7 linked regions of the Sus scrofa genome follow. Each later gene encodes a partner of the first gene's protein in a complex. Links are inferred from orthologs where the notes say so. Each region holds a gene or a part of one and is shown in the gene's direction. Other genes may lie near its edges.

Region 1 (3,500 bases):
GAGAAGGCAGAGTGTGTCCGGGGCTGTGCTCTGTGCCACCCTCCCCGAGTGCCTGTGGTCTGCAGTACATGCGCATGTCAGTGTCACCTTCTGGTTTTTTAAAGAAATTTGTTTATTTTTAAACTGGTTATTTTCTTTTTTGTAACTCGGTGAATTTTCTCACGTTTATAGCTGTGCAGCCATCCCCACCCCAGCCCACCCCCCACCCCAACCTGTCTCCTTTGGAAATCATAAGGTTTTCAACGTCTGTGAGTCCGCATCTGTTCTGCAAAGAAGTTCCCTGTGTCCTTTTTTTAGATTCCACGGATGTTACCATATGATGTTGGGGTCTCATTGTCTGACTGACTTCACTTAGCATGGTAATGTCTAGGTCCATCCATGTTGCTGCAAATGCCGTTCCTTTTTAGGGCTGAGTAATATTCCATTGTGTATATGCACCACATCTTCTTGATCCATGCCTCTGTCGATGGACATTTAGGTTGTTTCTGTGTCTTGGCTGTTGTATATAGTCCTGCAGTGAACATTGGAGTATGTTTATCTTTTTGAGTCATGGTTGTCTCTGAGTAAATGCCCAGGAGTGGAATTGCTGGATCAAATAATAATTCTATTTTTAGTTTTCTGTGGAATCTCTATACTGTTTTCCATAGTGGTTGCACCAATTTACATTCCCACCAACAGTGTGAGAGGGTTCCCTTTTCTCTACACCCTCTCCAGCACTTATTGTCTGTAGACTTTTTAGTGATGGCCTTTCTGGCTGGTTTTTTTAAGTCTTACTGAACTGCTTTTGATTTACAGTGTTGAGTTCGTTTCTGCCCGAATAACATAGCGGTTCCCTCTTCCTCCAGGACTGGATGAAGCAGATCCTGGGGATTTGATCCTAGTTAGAAGGATAAGGTGCACCAAGCTTCCAGCACAGTCCTCTTTTCTTCCCAGCAGACACATGTGTTTTTACAGGTGTGGAGGACATTCTAGAAGGAGTCACCAACGATGCTCCCATGGTGGCTTCTGGAGGTGGGGTTGATGTTTTAAGCTCCTCAGTCTGGATTTTTTTGTGGCGCACAGTTAAAAGGAGATGAAAGGATGCTTGCCTGGATGGATGGGCAGTTGGCTCCTGTACTCACTTTAGACCTGAGTTCCAGGATCTGGGGCTGGCAGGGACGTGGACCCCTAAGAGGCCCCCTGCCCCACATGCCCTGGATCTTGTGTGGGGATGACGGAGGGCGTGGTGTAGCCCACGGCGCAGACCTGGGACAGCGCTGGCCTCCAGCTTGTACCGGGGACAGCTCCCCAGAGGTGTGTCCTCCTGCCTCCCACAGTGTAGACAGCTGCCTCCCTTTAATTCTGTCAGGGTGAGTGGGGCTCAGGCAGTGTAGATGACACAGATCCCCCCCGCCCAGGGCTGGCACTGGTGAAAGAAGTGTGTCGTGGCCCAGGGGCAGAGGCGGGAGGGGACTTCTTGCCAGTGAGAGGTGCGTCCTGCAGGTGCAGCAGGAGCGGGATGAGCTGTACCGGAAGTTCACCGCCGCCATCCTGGAGGTGCAGCAGAAGACAGGCTTCAAAAACCTTGTCTTGGAGCGCAAGGTGCAGGCGCTGAGTGCTGCCGTGGAGCAGAAGGAGGTGCAGTTCAGTGAGGTGCTGGCAGCCTCCAACCTGGACCCCTCGGCTCTGACCCTCGTGTCCCGCAAGCTGGAGGTAGGCCCCAGATGGGCTCCTGGGCAGGGCTGCCAGCACCCCCGGGCCCCCACAGTGGGCCGGTAGGGCTCTGGTCGGGGCCCCACGCTGTGGTCCAGCCTCTCGTCCCAGCTGAGGCTCTCGTTAACCTCGTGGAGGGGCTCACGGTTTCCGCGCTCCCAGGCCTCTGTGCACCGTCAAATCCCTGGGCTCTGTGGCTTTGCCCTTGTCTCTTTCCCGCCCCTGCTCTGAGCCCAAGTCCACACTGTCCGCTCCAGCTCAGCCTGTCAGGCCCTGGGTCTCTCAGGCCTCTTGGATGGCCTCGTCTCCTGAGCTCTCACCTGAGGCCACTGCCACCTCCTGTCTGGAACAATAACATGTGCTGGTCTAGGCTCTGGGTGGGGGACACAGGGCTGTGGGCGTGCCTTTGTGGTGGCTGCTGGGCAAGGCATCCCAGAGGGATGGGTCTGAGCAGCAGCTAGAGCATCTGTTCACCTGCACGTCCAGTCATTTACGGCAGTTCCTCTGCCGCGGCCGTCCAGGGTACGGGGCACAGCAGTCAAAGGACCCGAGAGGCCTCGGTGTCCATGGGCCAGTGGATGAGATGAGAGTCAAGACAACTCAGCAGGCAGAACCTTGACCGTACCTGCTAGTGACCTTACCTGGAGCTGGGTCGTGCCCCTCCGCTCCCTGACCTGGGTGGGAGGTGTCACAGAAAGTACAGGTGATGCTGGCCAGGGGGCCTTTGTTGCTTCCAGGGAAACGTGGCCTGGCTCTGGGCAGTGGACAGTCTCCAGGGAGAGGCCCTCTGCGGGACGGCCAGCCCGTCCCAGACACGGACCCTTCCAGGGGGACAGCCCTGTTGTCCCTGTTCTTCCTTCCCAGGGAAGCAGATGGGGTCAGAGCCACAGGGAGGTGGGCAGGGTTGGGGCAGGGCGAGGCCTTGCTGCCGGTGGAGGAGGGCCTGGGCCCGAGGCGTTGTCGCGCCTGTGGTTCTGGCTGGTGTTTGCTCCCAGGGCAGTGGTGGGTCCTGGCTCAGTGGGTGCCAAGCTCTTGGGGTCAGGGCTTCTGCAGCCACGAGGGGGCCTCGTCTGGGCGGCAGCACCACAGTCTGAGTCTGGGGCTCATGTCTGTCCTTGCCGCTCACAAAGGGGAGAAGGGCTTTGCCCTCTCCTGTGGGAAAAGGCAGCCGGTCCTGCAGCTGGACGAGGCCCTGTGCCGCCAGCATCCGTGATGAAGGGATAAAAACCGCTCCCCGGAGTTTCCGTCGTGGCTCAATGGTTAACAACCCCGACTAGTATCCATGAGGACACAGGTTCTGTCCCTGGCTTCACTCAGTGGGTTAAGGGTCCGGCGTTGCCGTGAGCTTGTGGTGTAGGTCGCAGACATCGCTTGAATCCTGCGTGGCTGTGGCTGTGGCGTGGGCTGGAGGCTGTAGCTCTGATTCAACCCCTAGCCTGGGAACCTCCACATGCCATGGATGTGGCCCTAAAAAGAAAAAAGAAAAAAAAAAAAAAAACCCAGTCCTGTCCCCTGTGGTTATGGCAGCTGCTCCAGGACCTGGCAGGAGAGGCTTGAGGGCTTTCCTGGGATGCGGCTGGCAGCCCGGATGGCTCCAGAGGGAGGCCGGGCTGCCGCCCCCCCCTCCACCGGGCAGTTCCTCACGGAAAGCAGCTCTGTGTCCTGGGGACCTTCCCACGCCAGCTGCCCCCTGTGTGGACGCCCGCGTGGGGAGCCAGGCGCTCTTCCCTGTCTGCCTTCTTCCCCGCAGGACGTCCTGGAGGCGAAGAACAGCACCATCCAGGACTTACAGTACGAGCTGGCGCGCG
Region 2 (3,500 bases), about 20 Mb from region 1:
TCACATTTTACAGAAGAGCCCGAGGTTAGGGAAGTGGAAGGGCTTGCCCAGGTTTCAGGTCTGGGGCCGAGGCTCTCCCTGCACTCAGGGCGGGAAGCAGGCTCCAGGGGCCGCTGGCGATTCAGGGCTGCTGATGCTTTTTCTCTGTCTGGTGATAGGCGGTCCAGGAGGAGGAAAAGGCACCACCTAAGAAGTACGCCATCAGACCGCCCAGGGACCTGAGCAGCAGGTTTGAGCAGGAGCAGGAGATGAAGAGGCAGAAGGCGATCCAGGCTGAGGAGGAGCAGCGGCTGAGGCAGGAGGAGGAGCGCCTCATGGTGGGTCCCCCGTCCTCAGCCCTCAGCCCTGGAGCTCAGCTCTGGAGGAGGGGCTGCTAGGAATGGGAAACAGACACAGGTCACCGAGGGACGTGCTGGTGGGCCCCCAGGTTCAAATCCCCTCCTCCATCCTCAACCACCCCCCACCTCTGCTGGGCCATGTGGGAATCCCCAGCCGTGGTCAGCAAGCTGCTCGTGACAGATTTTTAAAGGCAGAGAGCTCAGCTGTCTGGGCAGTTCGTTCTATGCTGCGCAGTTCTGGGGTCCTCCTCATTCCAGCCGCTCAGTGAAGAAACTTAGGTACGCTCTGCATCCATCCTCCCAGCCATCCTCCCATCTCGCTTCCATCCGTCAGTCCTCCCATCTCTCTTTCCATCCATCCATGTTCCCATCTTTCCTTCTGTCCACCCGCACATGCATCCTCCCTCTTACCTTCTTTTCCTTCCTCCCTCTTTCCTTCCATATACTATTTATCGAGGGTCTACCAGGGTCCATGTTGCGGAATGCAACAGAGAACATGGCAGAGTGACCCTTTCCCAGAGGGATGGGGATAAAGAAACCACAGGGTACCTCCTCTCTTTCTTTGGGTGAAATCTCACCCAGAATCACAGCACAGAAAGCCAGTACATCCCAGATACCCTCGAGTTCCAAAAGGCAAGTTTGTAAACCGCAGCTGGAGCCAGATCCTTGCATTCTGTCGGCAAGAAAACAGGCTCAGGAGTTCCTGTCGTGGCGCAGTGGTTAATGAATCCGACTAGGAACCATGAGGTTGGGGTTCGATCCCTGCCCTTGCTCAGGGGGTTAAGGATCCGGTGTTGCTGTGAGCTGTGGTGCAGGTTGCAGACGCGGCTCGGATCCTGCGTTGCTGTGGCTCTGGCGTAGGCCGGGGGCTACAGCTCTGATTAGATCCCTAGCCTGGGAACCCATCTATCTGGCTCATGGTCACCCACCTTTCACAGGAGGAGGAGAGTGCAAAGACCGACCCCCTGCACGGCCTGCGGGTGCACTCCTGGGTGCTGGTGCTGGCGGGGAAACGCGAGGTGCCTGAGAGCTTCTTCATTGACCCGTTCACTGCACGCAGCTACGGCAAGGATGATGACCACTTCCTGGGGATCGAGAGCCTCTGGAACCACAAGAACTACTGGGTCAACATGCAGGACTGTTGGAACTGCTGCAAGGTGCTGGAGGGGGCCTGGGCGGGTGTGGCGGGCACAGTCTGTGGGGAGAGCTGGCTACTAGGCCAGGAGGGCTTCAGACTTTCCCTGTAGCTGAGTGCCCAGGGCCCACTCCTTCCCCCATGTGTAACCACTCCAATGGGGTTATCGTCGCTCCTTTGAATTGTATGTACTTAGGAGTTCCCGTCGTGGCGTGGTGGAAATGAATCCAACTAGGAACCATGAGGTTGCAGGTTTGATCCCTAGCCTCACTCAGTGGGTGAAGGATCTGGTGTTGCCATGAGCTGTAGGTTGAGTGTAGTTTGCAGACGCAGCTCGGACCCGGTGTTGCTGTGGCTGTGGTGTAGACTGCCAGATGTAGCTCCAATTCGACCCCTAGCCTGGGAACCTCCATATGCCGCAGGTGTGGCCCCAAAAGCAAAAAACCAAAAGTCTGAATTATATGTACTTAGAGAATGTAGATTTTTAGCGCATTTACGCTTTTTAAAATGTTGTGTTTAAGTGCTACATATATGCAGAAAAATGCACTCATCCTACATGTCTGGCTCCATGAATTTCCATTTAAAAACTCAGTGCCAGAGTTCCCATTATGGCTCAGTGGGTTAAGGACCTGACATAGTCTCTCTGAGGACATGGGGTCTATTCCTGGCCTCATTCAGTGGGTTAAGGATCTGGTGTTGCTGAAAGCTGTGGCATATGCCATAGAAGCAGCTCTGATCTGGCATTGCTGTGGCTGTGGCATAGCCCTGCAGCTGCAGCTCTGATCTGACCCCTAGCTAGGGAGCCTCCATATGCTGTGGGTGTGGCTGTTTAAAAGAAACACAGGAGTTCCCATTTGTGGCTCAGAGAGTAAAGAATCCCACTAGTACCCATAAGGTTTTGGGTTTAATCCTTGGCCTTGTCCAGTGGGTTTTAGGATCCATTGTTGCCGTGAGCTACAGTGTAGGTTGCAGACTTGGCTCAGACCCATGTGGCTGTGGCTGTGTTGTAGGCCGGAAACTACAGCTCCAATTCAACCCTTTACCTGGGAACTTCCATATGCCATGGGTGTGGCTCCTAAAAGACAGACCAAAAAGAAAAAATCCCACAGTGCCACAAAAAAAAAAAATGCATTGCCACTTATAATTCAAAATACATGCACACATTTGGGGGGAGGTCATAACTGGATCCCAGGGGACTTTCTGGGGGTGGGGACAAGATTCTGTTTCTTGAATCAGGGAATTCTTGAATTCAGGGAATCAGAGTGCACCAATTCATGGAAATTCATTGAGCTGTACACAAATCGAAAGGGAGACAGGCTCCAGGCTCCAAGGTCTGTGCGCTTATTTCCAAGTTCCTCTGTTTCCAAGAGGCCAGTTTTCCAAAGACAGGTGTGGGGCCCTTGGCTCCCAGCGCCAAAATGACCCCATCCAAGGAACTGCTGTTGCCCACATGTGGGAAGCAAGCAGAATGGATGCACCACCTCAGGTGCCTCCATCTTCAGTGACGAAGACATGCCCACCCTCAGCCTCCCTCTGCCACACAAGATGGGCAGACTGCCCTTCCCTGGAGCCCAGCTGGTAGCTGTCGTGGCTGTCAGAGCTCTCTGAAGGATAACAGCCCTTCAGAGGCTGCTGCAGCCCTCCTTTGCCCTCCTCTAGGCGGAAGGGCGGAAGGTCCTTCAGTCTCCCCCAGCACCAGGTGGAGGAAATTCATATCAGGGATAATAGAATTTATAAAGATGGAAGCAGGGCCTGGTGAGAAAGTGAGGCCAGAGGGGTACTGGGTCACCAAGTGAGGGCATGAGAAAGAGATCAGGACACTGGCTGTCACTTTTACTGCCCAATGTTGTGGGAGCGGCTGCTTTGTCCTTCAAAGAACCTTGAAATGGCCTTGGGGATGTGGAGCGTTGCACAGAGAGAGAGCAAGACACCCCAGGCTCCTGGGACAGGGTCGCTGTCCATTCATTTATGCTTTTTCTATAGAAATAGAATGTTAAGTTAAAACAGCACTGTGGCTCAGGGGTAAC
Region 3 (3,893 bases), on another chromosome or scaffold:
CACCTGTTTATCAAGTTCTAATCCACAGGGACTAGTGGCTCAGAACTAGATATTAGTACAACAATTGCTTTTGCTCAAATTGTTCTTTAAAACTTAAGTTTTGTGAGTGCAAATAGATTAGCCAAAAAGCAATATGGTAAGAGACAAAATTGGCAATGCTTTTGTTGTCTCCCTGCTTAGTTTGATTACATTTTAATACACCCAGGATTTGATTCAGATGAAACAGTTTTTTAAACAACTGATGTATCATGGCCTTCTCTGATTTCATTGCCTTACCGGTGAACCCAAATTTGACTCAAAGCATATGATACCAACCTCCTATTAAGGACTCGGTCTCCAAACCTTTGCAACCAACAACTCAATGTAACAGAGCCATAGCAGGCAAAGTTGCCCCTTTATGGACAAACATCATTACTCCTTTCTTTCTTTTTTTTTCTTTTTCTTTCTTTCTTTCTTTCTTTCTTTCTTTCTTTCTTTCTTTCTTTCTTTCTTTCTTTCTTTCTTTCTTTCTTTCTTTCTCTCTCTCTTTCCTTCCTTCCTTCCTTCCTTTCTTCCTTCCCTCCCTCCTTCCTTCTTTCCTTCCTTCCTTTCTTTGCATTTTAGGGCCTCACCAGCAGCATATGGAGGTTCCCAGGCTAGGGGTCCAGTTGGAACTACAGCTGCTGACCTATGCCACAGCCACAGAAACATCAGTTCTTTTTTTTTTTTTTTTGTCTTTTTGTCTTTTTTGGGCCGCTCCTGCGGCATATGGAGGTTCCCAGGCTAGGGGTCGAATCGGAGCTGTAGCCACCGGCCTACGCCAGAGCCACAGCAACGCAGGATCCGAGCCGCGTCTGCAACCTACACCACAGCTCACGGCAACGCCGGATCGTTAACCCACTGAGCAAGGGCAGGGACCGAACCCGCAACCTCATGGTTCCTAGTCGGATTCGTTAACCACTGCGCCACGACGGGAACTCCAGAAACATCAGTTCTGACCTGCATCTGCAACCTACACCACAGCTAATGGCAATGCCGGATCCTTAACCCACTGAGCGAGGCCAGGGATTGAACCTGCAACTTCATGGATACCAGCTGGATTCGTTTCCACTGCACCATGAAGGGAACTTCTCATTACTTCTTTGTGATAATACAGAAGTTGCCAATTACTCATTTCCTTTTTAGTACTAGTCTCAAGATCCAAACCAACTTCCTAGGAAAATCCTTCTATCTTGGAAATTACATTATTTTCAAGTTAGATATACTTTTTTTTTATGCTGCAATAATGTGATTTGGCTGTTCAGATGATCAAAATATATTTTTCCACTTATATTTGGACTTCCTGCACAGTTCCTGGCTCAGAGCTCCCCCCCCAAACCTTGGAATTTCCTAAGTGATAAGAACAGTAGAAAGATCTTTTATCATAATATTTGGTTTCTTCTTCTTTTTTTTTTTTTTTTTTGTCTTTTTGCTATTTCTTGGGCCGCTCCCGAGACATGTGGAGGTTCCCAGGCTAGGAGTCGAATCAGAGCTGTAGCCACTGGCCTACGCCAAAGCCACAGCAACGCAGGATCCAAGCCGTGTCTGCAACCTACACCATAGCTCACGGCAACGCCGGATCGTTAACCCACTAAGCAAGGGCAGGGACGGAACCCGCAACCTCATGGTTCCTCCTCGGATTCGTTAACCACTGCGCCACGACGGGAACTCTTTTTTTTTTTTTTTTTTTTTTTTTTTTTTTGTCTTTTAATACTTGGTTTCTTATCATCAGCTCCTGAAAGTGATTCAGAGCCATAAAGTGAAATGAGTGTCCTATTTCTAACGAGACTCTTTCCACTACAACCGAATTTATGTTAAAGAAGTGATTTTTGGAAAGCACCTAAAGATGGGGGGGCTGGTCGACTAGAGAATCAACCATGAATAGAAGGGTGGAACTTTTTAAGTCCCATCCTCTGATTTTTGAGAAATGAGGGTTTGGAGCTTGAATCAGTGACCTACAGCCAATGATTTAGTCAATCATCCTATGTAATGAAGCCTCTATAAAAACCCAAATGGGAGCTTCTGAATTGATTGAATGCACAGAAATTTGGGGAGAGTGATATGTCTGGAGAGAGCATAAAGCTCAGCATCATCTCCCCATACCTTGCCCTATGCATAGATGGTTGTTTTTGAGTTATATCCTTTTATAATAAACAAGTGATCCAGTAAGTAAAATGTTTCTGAGTTTTGTGAGCAGCTCTATGTGGTAAGTTCAGAAGCCCAGATGACAATCTGGACTTGCCATTGGTATCTGAAGTGGAGGGTGGTCTTGTGGGACTAGGCCCTTCATCTGTGGAATGTAATGCTTTCTCGAGGTAGATAATGTCAGAACTGAGCTGAATTGTAGGACGCTCAACTGGTGTCTGAGAATTTCTTGGTGGTTTGGGGAACACCACCCTCTATAGCTATGTTGGAATTGGGGTCCCAAACAACTTTTAGATGCCTTCTTTGCTTCCTTCCTCCAAAGAAATAGAGTAACAGTATTCTTAACCATTTTGGTCATGGACACCTTTGCGAATTTGCTGAAAGTCACACACACACACACACACACACACACACACACACACACAAAGTATATACAGAACTGCATGAATCTTCAGGGAGTTCATGGGCCTCTCTGAAATTCATCCACATATCTAAAGGGATTTGTGGACTCTGGGTTAAGAACTCCACTTCTGGGGCAAAGCCAGCCATCACAGGTTGCCTGGTTAGGATATTCCCTCATCAAAGAAACTGGAAATATCAGGCAGAAAGCTAACTCAGAAGTGCAATAGAGTGCACTCAATGTTCCCACACACAGTTTCCTTCCCCATTTGCTTTTCTAGTCATCTCAGAATTGGCTGAACCAGAGAACTACTGAACTACTTAAGTTTTAGGATCCTGATCATCAACACAATTACCCACACCTTCCCCTCCTCAGGAAGGCAAGAGATATGTGAACTCAAGTTGTGATAGTTCTTTAACTCCAAATATGATCTAGTTTGAGAATTCTGCCCTAGCGATTACATCTACAACTAGCTAATGCTCATCACTGTTATTACAGGGAGGCAGCTAAGAAAATGTTGTCTATGGTTCAGCAGCAGGAGTATAGTGCTGCTGACCCTCCACACTGGTTTGGCTATGATTTTGAAGGCAAGCCTCTCACAGAGGAACAAGATATAAAACCACTTAAAGATTCAGAATTGACCCTGAATGAGTCAACATACAGCAGTGAAGAGGAAGTAGCAGCCTAAACAGGAAGAATGGAAAAAACCTAGAACTTGGCAACTTCACTTGATGCAAGTATTTTTACTAACTGGATCTTAACAATATAAATAAGCAGCAAATCATCTCCAGATTCTTATTCCAGCTACAAATGTTTCTAAATACATCTATTAGTTCTTCTGTCTAATAATCATGATTAAAAAAAAGCCAAATTAAGTACTGCACTATGTAAATTTTCCACTTAAATTTACCTTAATCAAACCAATAGTTTTGATGAGGTTCTCAAGTCTAATGTTACATTTGTACATTTGTACAGTTGTACATTTTTGACAAGGAATTTAGAAGCTTCTCTTTAGAAAAGAAAGCAAATAGCCATATAAATCAGACTAAATGTTTAAATCAGGGCAATGACTTTAAGGTAAGGATTGTGAGGATTTATTATAAAAGACATAGACAAATATTTTTTAAAGGAAATGAGGCTTTTTAGTGATTTCCAGATACTTAACAGGACAGAATTAAATGCCAATTAACCCTGGGCTCATCTCAACATTTGACTTAATGGAGGAAATTAAATAGAAATAGGAATTATTGGAGTTCCCATTGTGGCACAGTGGAAACGAATCAGACTAGGAACCATGAGGATGTGGTTCAATCGCAGGCCCAGCTCAGTG
Region 4 (4,248 bases), on another chromosome or scaffold:
CACCAAGGTTTTTCTTAATTTTATCATCATTATAATAGCTTATTATAACTTATTTTAACTGTATGACTATGTTTATTTTAACTGCATGACTGCTTGCTTGCAATGGATGCATGAGTTCTGCAGCTCTCAGATGAAGTGATTTTTGCCTCTCAGGGGACACTAGCAATGTATGGAGAAATTTTTGATGGTCACAACTAGGGATGGGGGTACTGGTGGGCAGAGGCCAGAGATGCACCAAAACAACCTACAATACACAGCTGAGACCCATCAGAACCTAGAAATATGTAGCTCGAAAGGTGAATAGTGCTGCTGTTAAGGAATAAAGCTAATGTCTCCATTTCACAGGTGAGGAAACTAAGGCTTAGATGGGAAGTGATAGAGCCCAGATTTAAACCCAGGCAGTTTGAATTCTGGGACCTTCTCTGCTTAACCATTACCCTTCATCTCTTACCAGACCAGTTCCCTCATCCGAATTCGAGCCCATCATTTCACAGAGAGGGAAAAGTGAGGCCCACAGGAGAGAAGGGACTTGCCTGTGGTCACAGTGCAGGACTCCTGAGTCCTATCCCAGCGCTCCTGCGGGCTTTGCTACCCACTCTACCGAGTACCCAGAAGGGAAGGGTCACCCCTAGGACAGGTCCCAGGGAAAGAGGGCCAGCAGCCATCCCGCCATCTAGGAGTCTCTAGAGGGGTGGGTAGCCTGAGGGCGCCTGGGAAACGAGCAGATAAGGGAGGAGGGGAGCGAAGAGGAGTGCGAGCTCCTGCTCCACGTGCGCAGCCTTGCGACCCCTCTCCCCTTCCCGGGCTTTCCCCTGCTATACCCATGCGGGGGCCCCCAGACCAGGGCTGGAGGGAGAGAAGCCCATCGATGACTTCCCCACAGCCCTTCTGGGCCCGCCTGCCCGCCTCCCACATCCCTATGCCCAGCCGCAACCCCGCACTACGAGCCCCTTGACCCCTGACCCCTGCCCTTTCCCTCAGGCCACCCTTCGCACCCCTTGGATTCTTACACGCGCCGCCCCGGCAACCCGGACCGCGCGCCGGGGTCCGCACTGCGCAGCCCAGCCCGCCGGCGCCGCCGCCAAAGCCCCAAGCCCGGAGCTGTTGCAGCTGCAGCAGCCGCCGCAGCCACCGCCACTTCAGCCGCCGCCACCACAGCAGCTGCGCCAGCTCTCCCATCCACCGCCTACTGTCCTCTCCACCCCCGCCGGCCCCGCCCCATTCCCCGTTTGCTGCGGCCTATTGGCTATCAAGCTGTCATGGTGCGCTCTGACTGGTCAAGCCTCAAGTCCTTCGCAAGTTCTTGCCCTCTGTTAATGCAGAACTCTCTGCCCGCCTCCTCGAGGAGAGGCGGGACGAAGAAACTCCGCCTCTTTCCACTACCCATTCTCCCCTCCTTACTCATTGAGTCCAACCCGGAGGGTTCGGGCCTTCCAATTGGTGGAGGGTTAGAGAGGTTGTGGTTCTGATTGGTCAGTCCAAAGGAGGTGGAGCGAACTGAGCGGAATAAGGAATGGAATGGCGAAAAGGAAAGTCAATCAGACTCCGAGTCCCGCCTTCTGAGGTTGGCGAGTAACCTAGCAACGCAGGCACCTAAGTGGTAATCACTTAGTAGAAAAACTGAAGCCCTTGGAGCAGGTGAGTGACCCCGTGGGGAAGGGCTGGATTTGATGAGGGGGGGGGAATGTCGAATGGAGCTCTCTATCCTTTGGTTTTCTTAGGAATCAGTAGTCCCCCACCGGCGAACCTGTCCCCGCCTCAGGACCCTGCTCTCCAGCACTGGCCCCAGTCTGGATCTCCACTTGTCCACTTCATGGTCCCACTTCCTCATCCGTAAAACGTGGATGATACTAGTCAAGTGGAGTCAAATCAAGTTTAATTACTTTCAAGTCAGACACAGGTGCTAAGGGTCAGAGAGTGGTTTATGAGTCCTCTTACTTTCCACTCAACGGCTGTACATCCCAGGGTGAGCATGCAATGAAAGTGAATGTTTAGATAATTTTGATTATACCAAGTCTATGCTAACTTTAGAACTTCACTCCCGGCTGGGTACCTAATATATGATTTTATTTACATACTTAAGACAAAGGGTTTGTTGTGAGAATTAACCAAGGTAGAAAGTAAAACAGAGGTTTAATGGGGGCTAGAGGAATGGGGAAGCAAGAAGTTATTATTTTTGAAGTTATTATTTAATGAGTATAGAGTTTCAGTTTGGAATGATGAAAAATTCTGGAGGTGGATGGTGGTGATGGATGCATATAGATGTGAATGTAATAACCTCATGCCACTGAATTTAAAATGGTCACAATGGACCCCCTTGCTGTACAGTGGGAAAATAAAAAATATATATATTTAAAAAAAATAAAATAAAATGGTCACAATGGTAAACTTTATGTTATGTATATTTTACCACAATGATAATTTTTAAAAGCAGCTATAGGACTTCCCTTATGGCTCAGCAGCTTAAGGATCCAGTGTTGTCACTGCAGCAGCTCGGGTTGCTGCTATGGCATGGGTTTTATCGCTAGCCTGGGAACTTCCACATGCCACTGCTGGGTACTGCCAGAAAAAAAAAAAAGAAAAGAAACAGCTGTAAAGCTGGATAAAACTATCTAGTGCTATTTTAAAACTCTGCAAATCAACCAAAGGCATACAGCAAACTGAGAGCTTTTATTCATAAAACTACTGAACTTCAAGTTTGTGCTGTACTTATGTAAGACTTCTCTGATTTCCCAACCCCCAGTTCTATTGGCATAATAATTCAACCAGGGCAAGTAGCCCTGGAAAACGAATAGTTTCACTGTCACTGTCTGATGGGGCTCCCTTGATCTGGAGGATTGCAGGCTAAACTGGCAATCTTGGTGGGAAGAGAACAGGGGAGGCCAGCAGCTCTAGCAGTCCAAGGTTGTAGTCCTATTTATTGCAAACAATAGGCTGAGAAAGCTCAGAGTTCTGGGGAATAAGACAGCCATAGAGGGCTTGATGAACTTTCTCTATATCCTGGTTGAGTAGAGGTTATGCACAGGTGTAGCAGAGACCAGAGCTAGCCCAAACCACTTAGACATCCCTGGCCTTTGGAGCCTTATAGAAGTACATGCTAAGTGTGTGCTGCCCTTGTCAGTGAAGAATAGAAGCCTTACTGGCTCAAAGTTTGAGCACACCTCTAACTGATTTTTGGCCAGATATTAAACTATGTGGATGCCAAGGCGACCCCAAGGAAGCCAGGCTTAAAAATAAAAAATATGGAGATGTTCCCATTGTTGCTCAGCAGGTTACACCCAACTAGTATCCATGAGGATGTGGGTTTGATCCCTGGCCTCACTCAGTGGGTTAAGCATCCAGCCTTGCTGTGAGCTGTGATGTAGTCTGCAGACTCAGCTTGGATCCCAAGTTGCTATGGCTGTGCCTAGCCTGGCAGCTGCAGCTCTGACTGGACCTCTAGCCTGGGAACTTCCGTAAGCCAGGTGCAGCCCTAAAAATGAAAACACACACACACATATATGGAAAAAAAAAATAAGCAGAAACATCAGTGGCTGCACATTGTGGAGGAGACCAACTTGACAAATTGAATCCAGGAAATAATTACGAAACACCCAAGTGAAACAAAAATGAGAAAAACAACCATTAGCAAGAAAAAAATACAGAGTTTCTCCAAATAAATAATCTTCCCTCTTAAATTTCTAGTGTTCCATAAAAATTGTGAGATGTGTGTAAACATACTCAGGGGGAAAAAAGCAATCAACAGACACTGTCTCTTGGTGTCCCCAGATGTTGGCTTTAGCAGACAAAGACTTCAAAGAAGCTATTATAAATTTGTTCAAAGAGCTACAGGAAACCATGTTTAAATAATTAAAAGAGGGTTTGATAACAGTGACTCATCACATCAAACAGAAAATATTTAGCATTCCAAAGTAGATTACAATAAATTGAGATGCACATTATAATCCCTAAATCAGTCACTAAGAAAAAACTCTAAAATATTTTTAAAAATCAACAGAGAAATCAGAAGTGTGAACTAAAAATACTTATTGAACGCAATAAAGGGCATTAAAGAAAAAGCATGGAGGAGTTCCCGTCGTGGCACAGTGGTTAACGAATCCGACTAGGAACCATGAGGTTGCAGGTTCGGTCCCTGCCCTTCCTCAGTGGGTTAACGATCCGGCGTTGCCGTGAGCTGTGGTGTAGGTTGCAGACGCGGTTCGGATCCCGAGTTGCTGCGGCTCTGGCATAGGCCGGTGGCTACAGCTC
Region 5 (3,500 bases), on another chromosome or scaffold:
CACCAAGTTCCAAACATTTGATCTGTAACACTTTCCTGCAAAGCTGGGCTCATTTTTAATGTCTATCTTAACATGTGTGTGTGTGCGTGTGTGTCTTTTAGGGCCACACCCACAGCATATGGAGATTCCCAGGCTAGGGGTCTATTCGGAGCTGTAGCCACCGACCTATGCCACAGCCACAGCACTGCCAGATCCTTAACCCACTGAGTGAGGCCAGGGATCGAACCCGCGTCCTCAGGGATGCTAGTCGGGTTCATTAACTGCTGAGCCACGACGGGAACTCTTTAATGTCTATCTTGGTTGTAATTAATTGGCTATGCTGAGGAAGTCATCCTGTTAAAAATGTTCTACAGTGTTAATTAAAAAATTGGAAACTTGGAATTCCCACTGTGGCACAGTGGCTTAAGAATCTGACTGCAGCATCTCTGGTTGCTGTGGAGGCACAGGTTTGAGCCCCAGCCTGGTGCAGTGGGTTAAAGGATGCGGTGTTTCCACGGCTGTGGCTCCGATGCCATCGCTGGCCCGTGAACTTGCATATGCCATGGGTGCGGCTGAAAAAGGAAAACAAACAAGCAAACAAATAAATATTGGTTTGCCTGTAAGAAATAAACTCGCGGAACCTCGATGCTGGAGGAGGAGGATTTTTTTTTTTAATTTAGAAATTAAAATTGAATTTGTATTATGAGTGGAGATATTTATACCATGTAAGCTTTATGAATATTAAGAAAATGAACACCTGTGAACTGGATTTAGGAAGAGAACATTATCATGGTTTTAAAGCCCCTACCTGCCTCTGCCTGGTCCTGACTTCCTTTGCCCTCTCGCTTTCTCCTCACTATTTCTTTCCTTGTGTAAATATCTCCTTCTGTATCTTTTCTTTCTGTCTGTCTGTCTGTCTGTCTTTTTAGGGCTGCACCCACGGTGTATGGAGGTTCCCAGGCTAGGGGTCCAATTGGTGCTGCAGCCACCAGCCACAGGCACAGAAACACCAGATCTGAGCCACATCTCTGACCTGCACCACAGCTCAAGGCAATGCCGGATCCTTAATCCACTGAGCGAGGCCAGGGGTCGAACCCCGGGCCTCATGGATCCTAGTCGGATTTGTTTTCGCTGGGCCACAATGGGAACTCCTCCCTCTGCATCTTTTCTGTAACTTCTATAACTTTTTGTAAACTTTTCTCCATTTTTTCTCCTTCTGTCTGTCTGCACACACTCTTGCTTGTGTGCCCCCCACCCACGGCTACCCTGTACGTCTCTCCAGATCCGCCCCTGGCATCTGTGCCTTCCCTACAGGAGCAAACAAGCCTGGTATCAGCCCTGGAGCCTGAGGAACTGCTGGACCACGGCGGAGGGGAGGGAAGCCTCGTGGAGGGAAGCCTCGGGAAGGAGAGCCACCAGAGAAGGAGCCCCCCCGTTCTCCCGTGCTCATCCACCCCAATGATGTCCTCAAGATTCTGGAGGCCTTTGTCATGGGTCTGAGGAAGCCCAGGTGGGCTGCAGGGCTGGAAGACTCAGCCCGGGAACTGGGGAAGCTGGAGGGGATGGGGGCCAGCCGGTGCCGGGGAGGGAAGAAGAGGCTGCTGAGCCCAAACTTGGGGGATTGAGTACAGGGACGTCCAGAAGGAGGGTGAGAGGAATCCATGGACATTACAGGGAAGGAAAGGAGTGTAGAATCGATTTGCATGTGTTCATTCGTCATCCATTCATTCAGCAAACATCTGCTGGGGTCTGCTGTGTGTGTGCGTAGTCCTATGGGGATGACACCTTGTGATCGGAACAGTGGTCAAAGCATATACAGGGTGTCAAGTTGCTCAAAGGGAAGTGGTCACCTCCACTGGTGACCAGAGGTGGTCAGAGAGGGTCTTGGGAGGAGATGGCACCTGCAGTGTTTGCTTCAGTGGACAAGGTGGGGGGAGTGCATTTCAGGGTGTCACAGCACAGGGAAAGGTCTCGTTCAAGAACCTCTGGCTCAGCAGGTTAAGAACCTGACATAGTATCTGTGAGGACGCAGGTTCGATCCCTGGCCTCGCTCACTGAGTTAAGGATCCAATGTTGCCGCAAGCTTTGGCATTAGGAATAAAGAAGAAAATTCATATGGAAGAGCCCTGTAAGCTGTGAAGCCAGCACTGGCTTTGGCACTGCCTCTAAAGGCGGCCTGACAAGCAGCTGGTGCCAAAAACCATGGACAGGAGTTCCCATTATGGTTCAGTGAGTTAAGCATCTGACAGAGTGTCTGGGAGGTTGTGGGTTCGATCCCTGACCCTGCTCGGTGGGCTAAGGATCCAGCGTTGCCGTGAGCTGTGGTGTAGGTGGCAGACTCAGTGTGGATCCTGTGTGGCTGTGGCTGTGGCTGTGGCGTTAGCCTGCAACTGTAGCTCTGATTCGTGCCCTAGCCTGGGAACTTCCATATGCCACGGGTGCAGCTTGGGTCAAATGAGCAAGGCCAGATCTTGAGAGCCTGGCCCAAATTGCCCAAGATCTTGGTCTTTATCTGTTGGTGAACCAGAGCCAGAAAGAGATCTCAAGCCTTGAGGGAGCAGTGAGCAGACTTGCATTTTAGAAAGATGACTTGGGTGGTGGGGAGGGAGGGGCTGTTGCTGGACACAAGGAGAGCAGTGGGAAGGTTTGTCCCCGTGGGCGGGGAGAGCCTGGATGCAGGCCATCCTAGAGGGGAAGCGGAGGAGAAAACACATTTCGAAGGCTGTTGTGGCTGCATTCGTGGAAGAAATGGGCAGAGCAATGAGCTACAAAGCCAGCGAGGAAAATCGATTGAGAGAAAGAGGTTGCAGGAAACTCCAGTGATGCTTTCACAAAGGTGACAAGGGCACCAAGAATCAGGAACATTGATGACAGCAGGTGTTCTTTCTGAGACTCTTCAGGATCTGATGAACTTGCAGAGCGGAGCGGGAAGGCGGCAGGTGGAAAATCAATCTGTCCGTGGGGGGGCGGGCGCCGCGTCGGGCGCGCTGGAGAGGATGGCACCTGCGCTCTTGCCTTTCAGGGACTTTCGGGCACCAGCAAAGCTGCTGAAGGGTGTGCGCGATGCCTCAGAGGACTCGGAGTACTGGAGGGCGCTGACCACGGTTATCCCTGCTGCCACGCTGAGCCTCTGGGACGTTCTGTACACAGCCTTGGAGAAGTACCAGTGAGTGTGCACTTGCGGCCCAGGGGGAGGAGGGAGCCTGCAGTAGGTGGAAGGGAGAAAAGAGAAAAGCTTCTTGGAGAGAAAAGCTGCCTTTGCAGCTCCTGCTGGGGGTATGTAGTGTTGCGTGTAGGGTTGTCCTCTGGCTCTGCCTGCCCTGTTCGGTTCCCCCCAAGCCTGGCTGTTCCGGGCTTCAGGGCAGGTGTGCTGCTCTAGTGGGCGAGGCTCCTGGGGTCCCCTCCCACCTCCGACCAGAGTAGAAGCGTGGAGATCCTGGCCCCTGCTTGGTAGAGGATGGAGAGTCAATGGGCCTCTAAGCAATTTTTCTGCCCAAAGCCTCGTCCTGACCCAGAGGGCT
Region 6 (4,111 bases), on another chromosome or scaffold:
TAGCCACTAGCCATCAGATTCTGAAGCCTTAGTATTAAAATATATGTATGTATAATATTTCATTAATAATTTTTATGTTGATTACATATGTAAATGATATTTTGGACATATTGGATTAAATATAAAATTCACTTGTTTTCTCTACTTTTTAAATGTATGTACAAGACATTTTTTTTTCCTTTTTTTTAAGGCCGCACCGACGGCATATGGAAGTTCCCAGGCTAGGAATCAAATCAGAGCTGCAGCTGCTGCTCTATGCCACAGCCACAGCAATGCCAGATTCAAGCATCATCTGTGACCTACACCACAGCTCACAGCTCCTGAGAGAGGACAAGGATCAAACCTGCTTCCTCAAGGATACTAGTTGGGTTTGTTAACGTTGAACCACAGTGGAAATTCCAAAGACCTTTTTTTTTTTTGCTTTTTTTAGGGCCGCACCCACAGCATGTGGAAGTTCCCAGGCTAGGGGTTGAATTAAGAGCTGTAGCCACCGGCCTATACCACGGCCACAGCAATGTCAGATCCAAGCCAAGACTGCAACCTACACCACAGCTCATGGCAACACCGGATCCTTAACCCAATAATCAAGGCCAGGGATCAAACCCACAACCTCATGGACCCTGGTCGGATTCGGCTCTGCTGAGCCACAATGGGAACTCCCGCCTTTTTTTTTCAAAGGCATTTTTAAATAGTATATGTGGCTTGAGTTTTGGCATCTGTTATACATCTATTGTCCAGTGCTGTTCTCAATCCCTTCCTCCTGGTCAGGCAGTCGCAGTTCTATAAAATACTTGGTGTAGGGAGGGTTTTGAACTAAATAGTTCTTTTTCATACTTGGGTCACTTGGCCAAACTTGATAGACTGAGTTTAAATCCATCCTTGTTATTTACAAGCTGTGTGACATTGGACAAGTAATTAACCTCTCTGTACTTCACTTTCACATCAGAAAAATGGGACTAATATGAGTGCCTATCTCAAAAAGGCTTTTATGAGCATCAAATGAGCTGATATGCATAAAAAAAAAAACTAAAAAGAGTGTCCAGCATACAGCAGTTTCTGTTTTTTGTTGGTTTTTTTTTTGTCTTTTTGATATTTCTTGGGCCGCTCCTGTGGCATATGGAGGTTCCCAGGCTAGGGGTCAAATCGGAGCTGTAGCCGCTGGCCTACACCACAGCCACAGCAACACAGGATCTGAGGTGCATCTTCAACCTACACCACAGCTCACAGCAACGCCGGATGCCTAACCCACTGAGCAAGGCCAGGGATCGAACCTGCAACCTCAAGGTTCCTAGTCAGATTCGTTAACCACTGAGCCATGACAGGAACTCCAGCAGTTTCTTGTAATTGCCGTGTCACTATTATTGTCTAAACTCTGGGGCTGCTGCTTGCTATAATCTCATGTGTCACAGTATATATTATGCCTCTATGGATGCATTATTTTATTCATTCCTCCCAATCATCTTATCAGTAACTGTTGTCCTTACTTCACAGAGGAGGCATCTGAAACTCAACAAGTTTCAGCAACTGGCCCAAGGCCACCCAGCTAGTGGGATTTATACTTGGATCTACTCTAATCCGGAGACTGATCCTTAAGAACCACCTTGTACTACATCTCTTGGTAAATGCCTCCAAAGTAACAACCCAACTCCTCCTGCTCCAGGTTCCCACCAGCATCAAGGACCAGCCTGTCTGAGAAACTCCCGGTCACAAGGCCATCACCAAGGGACCACCTGTCCCTGTGTTGCCAGTCCCCAGCATGCAGGAAACCCAGACAACACCCTCATTGTCCATCCCCAGCCGGTCCTCAACCTCCACCCAGGACCGATCCTCCACCACCGGCCAAGCTTCAAGCACAGGCCCACAGCCCTCAAAGCCCCCAACCATCGCACCCCCGGTGAAGCCCAAGGGCCCGAGTTCTGGGGCTGGTGTACATCGGATGCGCAGGATTATCGCTGAGGATACCGAATGGTCACTGGCCATCGTGCCCCTTCTCACAGAGCTCTGCATTCAGCACATTGTCAAGAACTTTCAGAGTGAGTCTGGTCCTGCCTGGGGTGAAAGAGAGAAGGCCAGGAGTGGGGTAGGGTAGGCTGGACTGCCGCCGGCGAGGCCTCACAGCTGGGTCCTCAGGCAGCCCTTGCTCTCCCACGCAGCGTCCTCATTCCCACTCAACACTTCCCTTCCCCCCGCCCTGGAGACCAGGACAGCTTCTCCTCCTGTCCCCTTCCAGCAGCCCCCAACACACACACACCATGCCCTCCATGTCTCTGGCCCCTCCTCACCTTTCCCACTCTCCCTGACAAAGCCCAGCCCGAACCATATCTACCTCCTCCTCCAGAAAGCCCTCCCTGGTTGACCATCCTCCACTTTCTTGGAGTCTTCCACAGCATCCTTAGGTTCTGGGTTTGTTCTGTACTCTAGCCTCTGTTCATCGCTCTCAAAGATCAGTTGCCAGCCTCTCCTACTGGGTAGAAAGCTCTCTGAGGACAGAGCCATCATTTTGCTTACAGCATCTCTCACCACCAGACCTATAGTACATTCATGTGACTCGTTTACTGTCTGCCTCTGTCCATAAGATGGAGTGGCTTCCTCTGTTTGGTTCACTCTTTTTTTTTTTTTTTTTGTCTTTTATCCTTCTAGGGCTGCACCCATGGCATATGGAGGTTCCCAGGCTAGGGTTCTAATCAGAGCTGTTGCCGCCGGTCTACACCAGAGCCACAGCAACATCAGATCTGAGCCGCATCTGCAACCTACACCACAGCTCAGGGTAACATTGGATCGGATCCTTAACCCACTGAGGGAGGCCAGGGATCAAACATACAACCTCATGGTTCCTAGTTGGATTCGTTTCCGCTGCACCACGACAGGAACTCCTGTTTTGCTCACTTGTGTATCCTCAGCACCTAGAGAAGCTTGTGGTACATAGTGGGTGCTCAAAAAAACTTGTTTGGGAGTCTTCCTGTATGCCGTGGATGCAGCCCTAAAAAGACAAAGAAAACCTTGTTTGTTTTATAATGAATGAGTCAAATCAAATTGGGAGCTTCTGAGTCAAGGATTGTCTCCTCTACCAGATTAAGGAATAACTGAGGGGTGGACCTGTGATTCTGCCTCAGACTGGGAGTTCCCTGAGACCAGATGCTAAGATGTCCCCCTTCAAACAGGAACACCCCAGAGTTAGGGGCAGTATCTCCCTCAGACGGAGCTCCCATGAGAGTAAAGGCTGCCTCCCCTCTTAGGCTAAGGCTCCCTGAAGACAGGTCCAGGTATCCAGACAGGCCCAGGCCAGGGCACCATGTGCAGCATCCCCCACACTGTGAGTCCTACTTTCCCTGCTTCTGTTCCCAAAGACAACCCTATCCTGAAGCAGCTGCTCCCAGAGCATCAGAAGAAGGTCCTGAGCCACCTGCCCCCTGACCTGCCACTGGCTGTGACTGCCAACCTTATTGACGACGAGAACTACTGGCGCCGCTGCTGCATGCAGCGCTGGCCCGTGTGCCACGTGGACGAGCACGGCGGCAGCTGGAAGCGCATGTTCTTTGAGCTGCACCTGGAGAACCTGCTGAAGCACTTCATCCCCAGCACCACGGACCCCGAGGTGATCCTCAGCCTGCTGCCGCTCTGCAGGAACTATGTCCGCACCATCCGGGTGGACCAGTTCCTTCCACCCGTGCAGCTCCCGTCCCCGCCCCATGGCGGGGATCAGTCAGACTCTGGCAGTGAGGGAGAGATGGAGGAGCCCGCCATGGACCACTACCAGCTGAGGGACCTGGTGGCTGGCCTGGACCATCTGGAGGAGCTGGACCTAGTGTACGGTGTCAAGGACTGTGGCATGAACTTCGAGTGGAACCTGTTCCTCTTCACCTACCGTGACTGTCACTCCTTGGCGGCTACCATCAAGGCGTGCCACACCCTCAAGGTACCACCTGTCCCCAGTGTCCCTCCACCTCCCATTCCAGCATCTCTCTGACTCCTTCTCCCCTTCCTTCCTCCTCTTCCATCCCCATCTTCCTTCTATTTCCTTCTCACTCATTGACCAAGCCTCCTTTTGTGCACCCTGCACCAAGCCAGGTCCTGGGGATGCAGAGATGCGCAAAGCATTGCCTTGCTGGTT
Region 7 (3,500 bases), on another chromosome or scaffold:
AACAAAACTAATTCAAGAAGAATGGAAGAGTATGTTCCAATTTCCAATTTATTATATATATAATAAATAATTATATAATTATATGTAAATATATGTTATACACACACACACATATATTCACGTATAATGCCTTAGGGAGATCTCATAGGTGCAGCCCTAAAAAAAAGCAAAAAAAATGCCTTATGTTAAATATCTGTATTATTTACCTATGGATGTGTAACAAAACTTAGTGACTGAAAGTAAATCATTTATCATTTTATACAGTTTCTGTGGGTCAAGAATTTGGGAGCAGTTTAAGTGGTTGCTTCTGTTTTGGGGTCTCTCAGAATTTGAGGTTGGCCAGGGCTGCAATCATCTATAGACTTGACTGGGTCTAGAGGATCCACCTCCAAGATGGCTCTTTTACAGAGGTGGCAAGTTGATGCTGGCTGTGGGCAAGAAGCTTTAGCTTCTTAGCATCAGGAACCCTTCACAGGACTCCTTATGTGTCCTCATGACAAGGAAAGTGGCTTCCCACACAGCGCTATGAGAAAGTGATGGAGAAGCTTTAATGTCTCAAAATCACCTAGCCTTGGAACCCACAGTATCATTTTAGTTACATAGGTTAGTCCTATTCAATGTGGGGAAGACTAGACAAGGGCAGGAGTACAAGAAAAAAATCATATGGGTCACCTTGGAGACTGGCTGCTGTGTTTCATCTTCCAATAATCGAGACAATTTTGGTTAGTATCTAAAGATGTTGCTAGAAAAAAAGTTTATTTTGGCTCAAGTTCAAATTGATTAAGCATAGTCAGCATAGCCAAATAGCCTGGGCTACATATCTTTATCTTTATTAAATATGAAGTTACTTGCCTTTGGTAGGTGAGAATGTCACTGTGAAGTATTTAGCAGAATCAGATGCAAACTACTTTTGTTCATTATGTTGGTTATATTATATGATAACATGGACTTTGCAGGAGCCAATCTACATGCTGCCTGCGCTTTTAAGTAATTTTTAAACATTTAGCGGCTGAATTATTTTTTCTTTTATTCTTTCTTTAGAGGTCAACAGGAAACCTCAAATCTTCCTCCAGATGTTTGGCACTCTGAGGTGACAGTGTCAGTCACAGGGGAACCACCTACTGCTGCAGAAGAAATTGAAGAAACAGCCAAAGAGACAGCCAGAGAAATCACACCAGAAATCACAAAGCCACTCTCCATTGTAGATGTGCTGAGGATCTCTGCAGTTCTGGAGGACACCATAGACCAGCTCTCCATTCTAAACTATATCATGCCAGTTCAGTATGAAAAAAGACCAAGCAGCAGCATGGTAGATACACTCACTATTACTTAATTTTAGCTTTCCTTTCTTTTTGTTTCCCCATCATTTTCAGTACCTACGCCATTAAGTTTAACTTGGGAAATAACACCTTCATATCAGGTGAAGGGCTACAGTAAATATCTGAGATGCTTACTCTCAATTAATAGAGTGAAACAGACATAGCTTTAGGTGCATTACCAGTCAGAAAATCCATTTCTTCCAATATGTTGGCATTATTCTATTTTTTTTTTTTTGTCATTTTTTGGGCCACTCCTTCGGCATATGGAAGTTCCCAGGCTAGGAATCGCAGCTGTAGCCACCAGCCTATGCCAGAGCCACAGCAACATAGGATCCCAGCCACGTATACAACCTACACCACAGTTCATGGCAACGCTGGATCCCTAACCCACTGAGCAAGGCCAAGGATTGAACCCAAAACCCCATGGTTTCCAGTTGGATTCATTAACCACTGAGCCACGACGGGAACTCCTGTTGGCATTATTCTAAAAGGCCTATAGAGGATTTCCCGTCATGGCTCAGTGGTTAACGAATCTGACTAGGAACCATGACATTGTGAGTTCGATCCCTGGCCTTGCTCAGTGGGTTAAGGATCCGGTGTTGCCGTGAGCTGTAGTGTGGGTCGCAGACACGGCTCGGATCTGGCGTTGCTGTGGCTCTGGCGTAGGCCGGCAGCTACAACTCTGATTAGACCCCTAGACTGGGAACCTCCATAGCTAAATCAGTGTCAATACTATATAATATATATATTGAGGCAATCTGCTAAGTAATTGCATTATCTCCCCTATCTTGTATTTCTCAGATACTAAAAGCTAACTGAAAACTAGGGGGAGGGCCTTTAACTGGACCCTCTCGACATTGCTTTAATCTAAAATGACTTTGTTATTGCTAAACATGTTATAGTATGCTTTTCTGAATATCCAGCCATATCATGGTGTCAGCCATTACATTTTCAATGATGTTCTGGATTCCTCCTCAAAGCACCACTGAGATAAAAAAACTCAACTTGATAGTAAGCAAAATCCTTATAAATTCTTAAAGCTTTTATAAATTTTAATTACTTAGGTTGTAGATGTAAAATAGAGAAATTTATACATACAAACACATATTAAGTTTTAACAAAATTACATTGTATAATTTGCACAGAATATACTCTTATTTCCGATTCTATGATAAATGAAAATTGCTGCAGGCAATTCCTGTTGTGGCTCCATGGTAAGGAACCCGACTAGTATACATGAGGAAGCAAGTTCAATCTCTGGTCTCACTCAGTGCTCTGTGGTGTAGGTCACAGACATGGCTCGGATCTGGCATTGCTGTGGCTGTGGCATAGGCTGGCAGCTGCAGCTCCAATTTGACCCCTAGGGAACCCCTAGGCCATGGGTGCGGCCCTAAAAAGAAAAAAAAAAAAAAAAAAAAAGAAAATAAAATTTCTATGTAAATGAAAGGATAAATTGGTTTTCACATCTAACAGAAAAGATGTCCATATTTATTGTAACTAGCAAATTAAATTTCCCTTTAATTGCTCCTTACAATTTAAAAATTATTATTATTGTTAATATATGTATATTCTGGGTTCATAAAGCTTTTATTAAAGTTTTTAAAGTTTATACAAAATTTCAATAGGACATTAGATTTGGAATCAGGAAACCTTTATGATTTAGTTGTGTACTATGAGCAATTTATTTCACTTTCTTGGTCTTAGTTTTCTCATTCGTAGGTTGTGATGGAGTTTTAACTAAATGATGCATATGGTCCCTTCCAGTGCTAACATTCTATGAGTTTTGGGGTAGTTTTAAAATGTTAGTTAATGGGTATTATAGGAATTTTAAAACAAATTCATTTCCTTTTTAACTTATGGAAAGCAGAGATAGTGGAAATCCAGGAACTAAGCCTTTCAATGTATTGAAAATGTCTAATCCTTAAATTAAGCTAGTTAAGATATAATACAAAATCAACTATAATGGAAAAAATTTTTAAAAAAATAGTACAGAAGAGACTAGTGTTTCCTTCCTATTGTCTCCTTCAGTAAGAATCACAAATAAGAAAGGAAGATACTCAGTTAACAAGATAAAATTGTGGGTTTTTTTGCAACAGGGTTTTTTAAAATTTTTTTATTTTTTTGTCTTTTTAGGGCTGCACCTGCAGCACATGGAGGCTCCCAGGCTAGTGGTCTAATTGG

What was found.
Region 2: GAS8 (region 1) and DRC7 share a complex: the UniProt entries of both Homo sapiens proteins name them as parts of the nexin-dynein regulatory complex. The link is inferred for Sus scrofa from reciprocal best matches to the Homo sapiens genes DRC4 and DRC7.
Region 3: GAS8 (region 1) and FBXL13 share a complex: the UniProt entries of both Homo sapiens proteins name them as parts of the nexin-dynein regulatory complex. The link is inferred for Sus scrofa from reciprocal best matches to the Homo sapiens genes DRC4 and FBXL13.
Region 4: GAS8 (region 1) and IQCD share a complex: the UniProt entries of both Homo sapiens proteins name them as parts of the nexin-dynein regulatory complex. The link is inferred for Sus scrofa from reciprocal best matches to the Homo sapiens genes DRC4 and DRC10.
Region 5: GAS8 (region 1) and DRC1 share a complex: the UniProt entries of both Homo sapiens proteins name them as parts of the nexin-dynein regulatory complex. The link is inferred for Sus scrofa from reciprocal best matches to the Homo sapiens genes DRC4 and DRC1.
Region 6: GAS8 (region 1) and TCTE1 share a complex: the UniProt entries of both Homo sapiens proteins name them as parts of the nexin-dynein regulatory complex. The link is inferred for Sus scrofa from reciprocal best matches to the Homo sapiens genes DRC4 and DRC5.
Region 7: GAS8 (region 1) and IQCG share a complex: the UniProt entries of both Homo sapiens proteins name them as parts of the nexin-dynein regulatory complex. The link is inferred for Sus scrofa from reciprocal best matches to the Homo sapiens genes DRC4 and DRC9.

What each region holds. Positions count from the first base shown.
Region 1 is NC_010448.4:92,487-95,986, reverse strand, and holds part of GAS8 (growth arrest-specific protein 8), read left to right. Parts: intron 1-1,482; coding exon 1,483-1,692; intron 1,693-3,442; coding exon 3,443-3,500. UniProt on the Homo sapiens protein: Component of the nexin-dynein regulatory complex (N-DRC), a key regulator of ciliary/flagellar motility which maintains the alignment and integrity of the distal axoneme and regulates microtubule sliding in motile axonemes.
Region 2 is NC_010448.4:19,613,413-19,616,912, forward strand, and holds part of DRC7 (dynein regulatory complex subunit 7), read left to right. Parts: intron 1-158; coding exon 159-317; intron 318-1,276; coding exon 1,277-1,495; intron 1,496-3,500. UniProt on the Homo sapiens protein: Component of the nexin-dynein regulatory complex (N-DRC) a key regulator of ciliary/flagellar motility which maintains the alignment and integrity of the distal axoneme and regulates microtubule sliding in motile axonemes.
Region 3 is NC_010451.4:102,976,487-102,980,379, reverse strand, and holds the end of FBXL13 (F-box/LRR-repeat protein 13), read left to right. Parts: intron 1-3,061; coding exon 3,062-3,251; 3' UTR 3,252-3,393; downstream 3,394-3,893. UniProt on the Homo sapiens protein: Substrate-recognition component of the SCF (SKP1-CUL1-F-box protein)-type E3 ubiquitin ligase complex.
Region 4 is NC_010456.5:38,695,647-38,699,894, reverse strand, and holds the start of IQCD (IQ domain-containing protein D), read left to right. Parts: upstream 1-1,448; 5' UTR 1,449-1,638; intron 1,639-4,248. UniProt on the Homo sapiens protein: Component of the nexin-dynein regulatory complex (N-DRC), a key regulator of ciliary/flagellar motility which maintains the alignment and integrity of the distal axoneme and regulates microtubule sliding in motile axonemes.
Region 5 is NC_010445.4:112,583,665-112,587,164, reverse strand, and holds part of DRC1 (dynein regulatory complex protein 1), read left to right. Parts: intron 1-1,293; coding exon 1,294-1,441; 3' UTR 1,442-1,489; intron 1,490-3,001; 3' UTR 3,002-3,145; intron 3,146-3,478; exon of another isoform or gene 3,479-3,500. UniProt on the Homo sapiens protein: Component of the nexin-dynein regulatory complex (N-DRC) a key regulator of ciliary/flagellar motility which maintains the alignment and integrity of the distal axoneme and regulates microtubule sliding in motile axonemes.
Region 6 is NC_010449.5:39,285,527-39,289,637, reverse strand, and holds the start of TCTE1 (T-complex-associated testis-expressed protein 1), read left to right. Parts: upstream 1-1,311; 5' UTR 1,312-1,756; coding exon 1,757-2,033; intron 2,034-3,347; coding exon 3,348-3,916; intron 3,917-4,111. UniProt on the Homo sapiens protein: Component of the nexin-dynein regulatory complex (N-DRC) a key regulator of ciliary/flagellar motility which maintains the alignment and integrity of the distal axoneme and regulates microtubule sliding in motile axonemes.
Region 7 is NC_010455.5:134,581,623-134,585,122, reverse strand, and holds part of IQCG (IQ domain-containing protein G), read left to right. Parts: 5' UTR 1-21; coding exon 22-29; intron 30-1,041; coding exon 1,042-1,309; intron 1,310-3,500. UniProt on the Homo sapiens protein: Component of the nexin-dynein regulatory complex (N-DRC), a key regulator of ciliary/flagellar motility which maintains the alignment and integrity of the distal axoneme and regulates microtubule sliding in motile axonemes.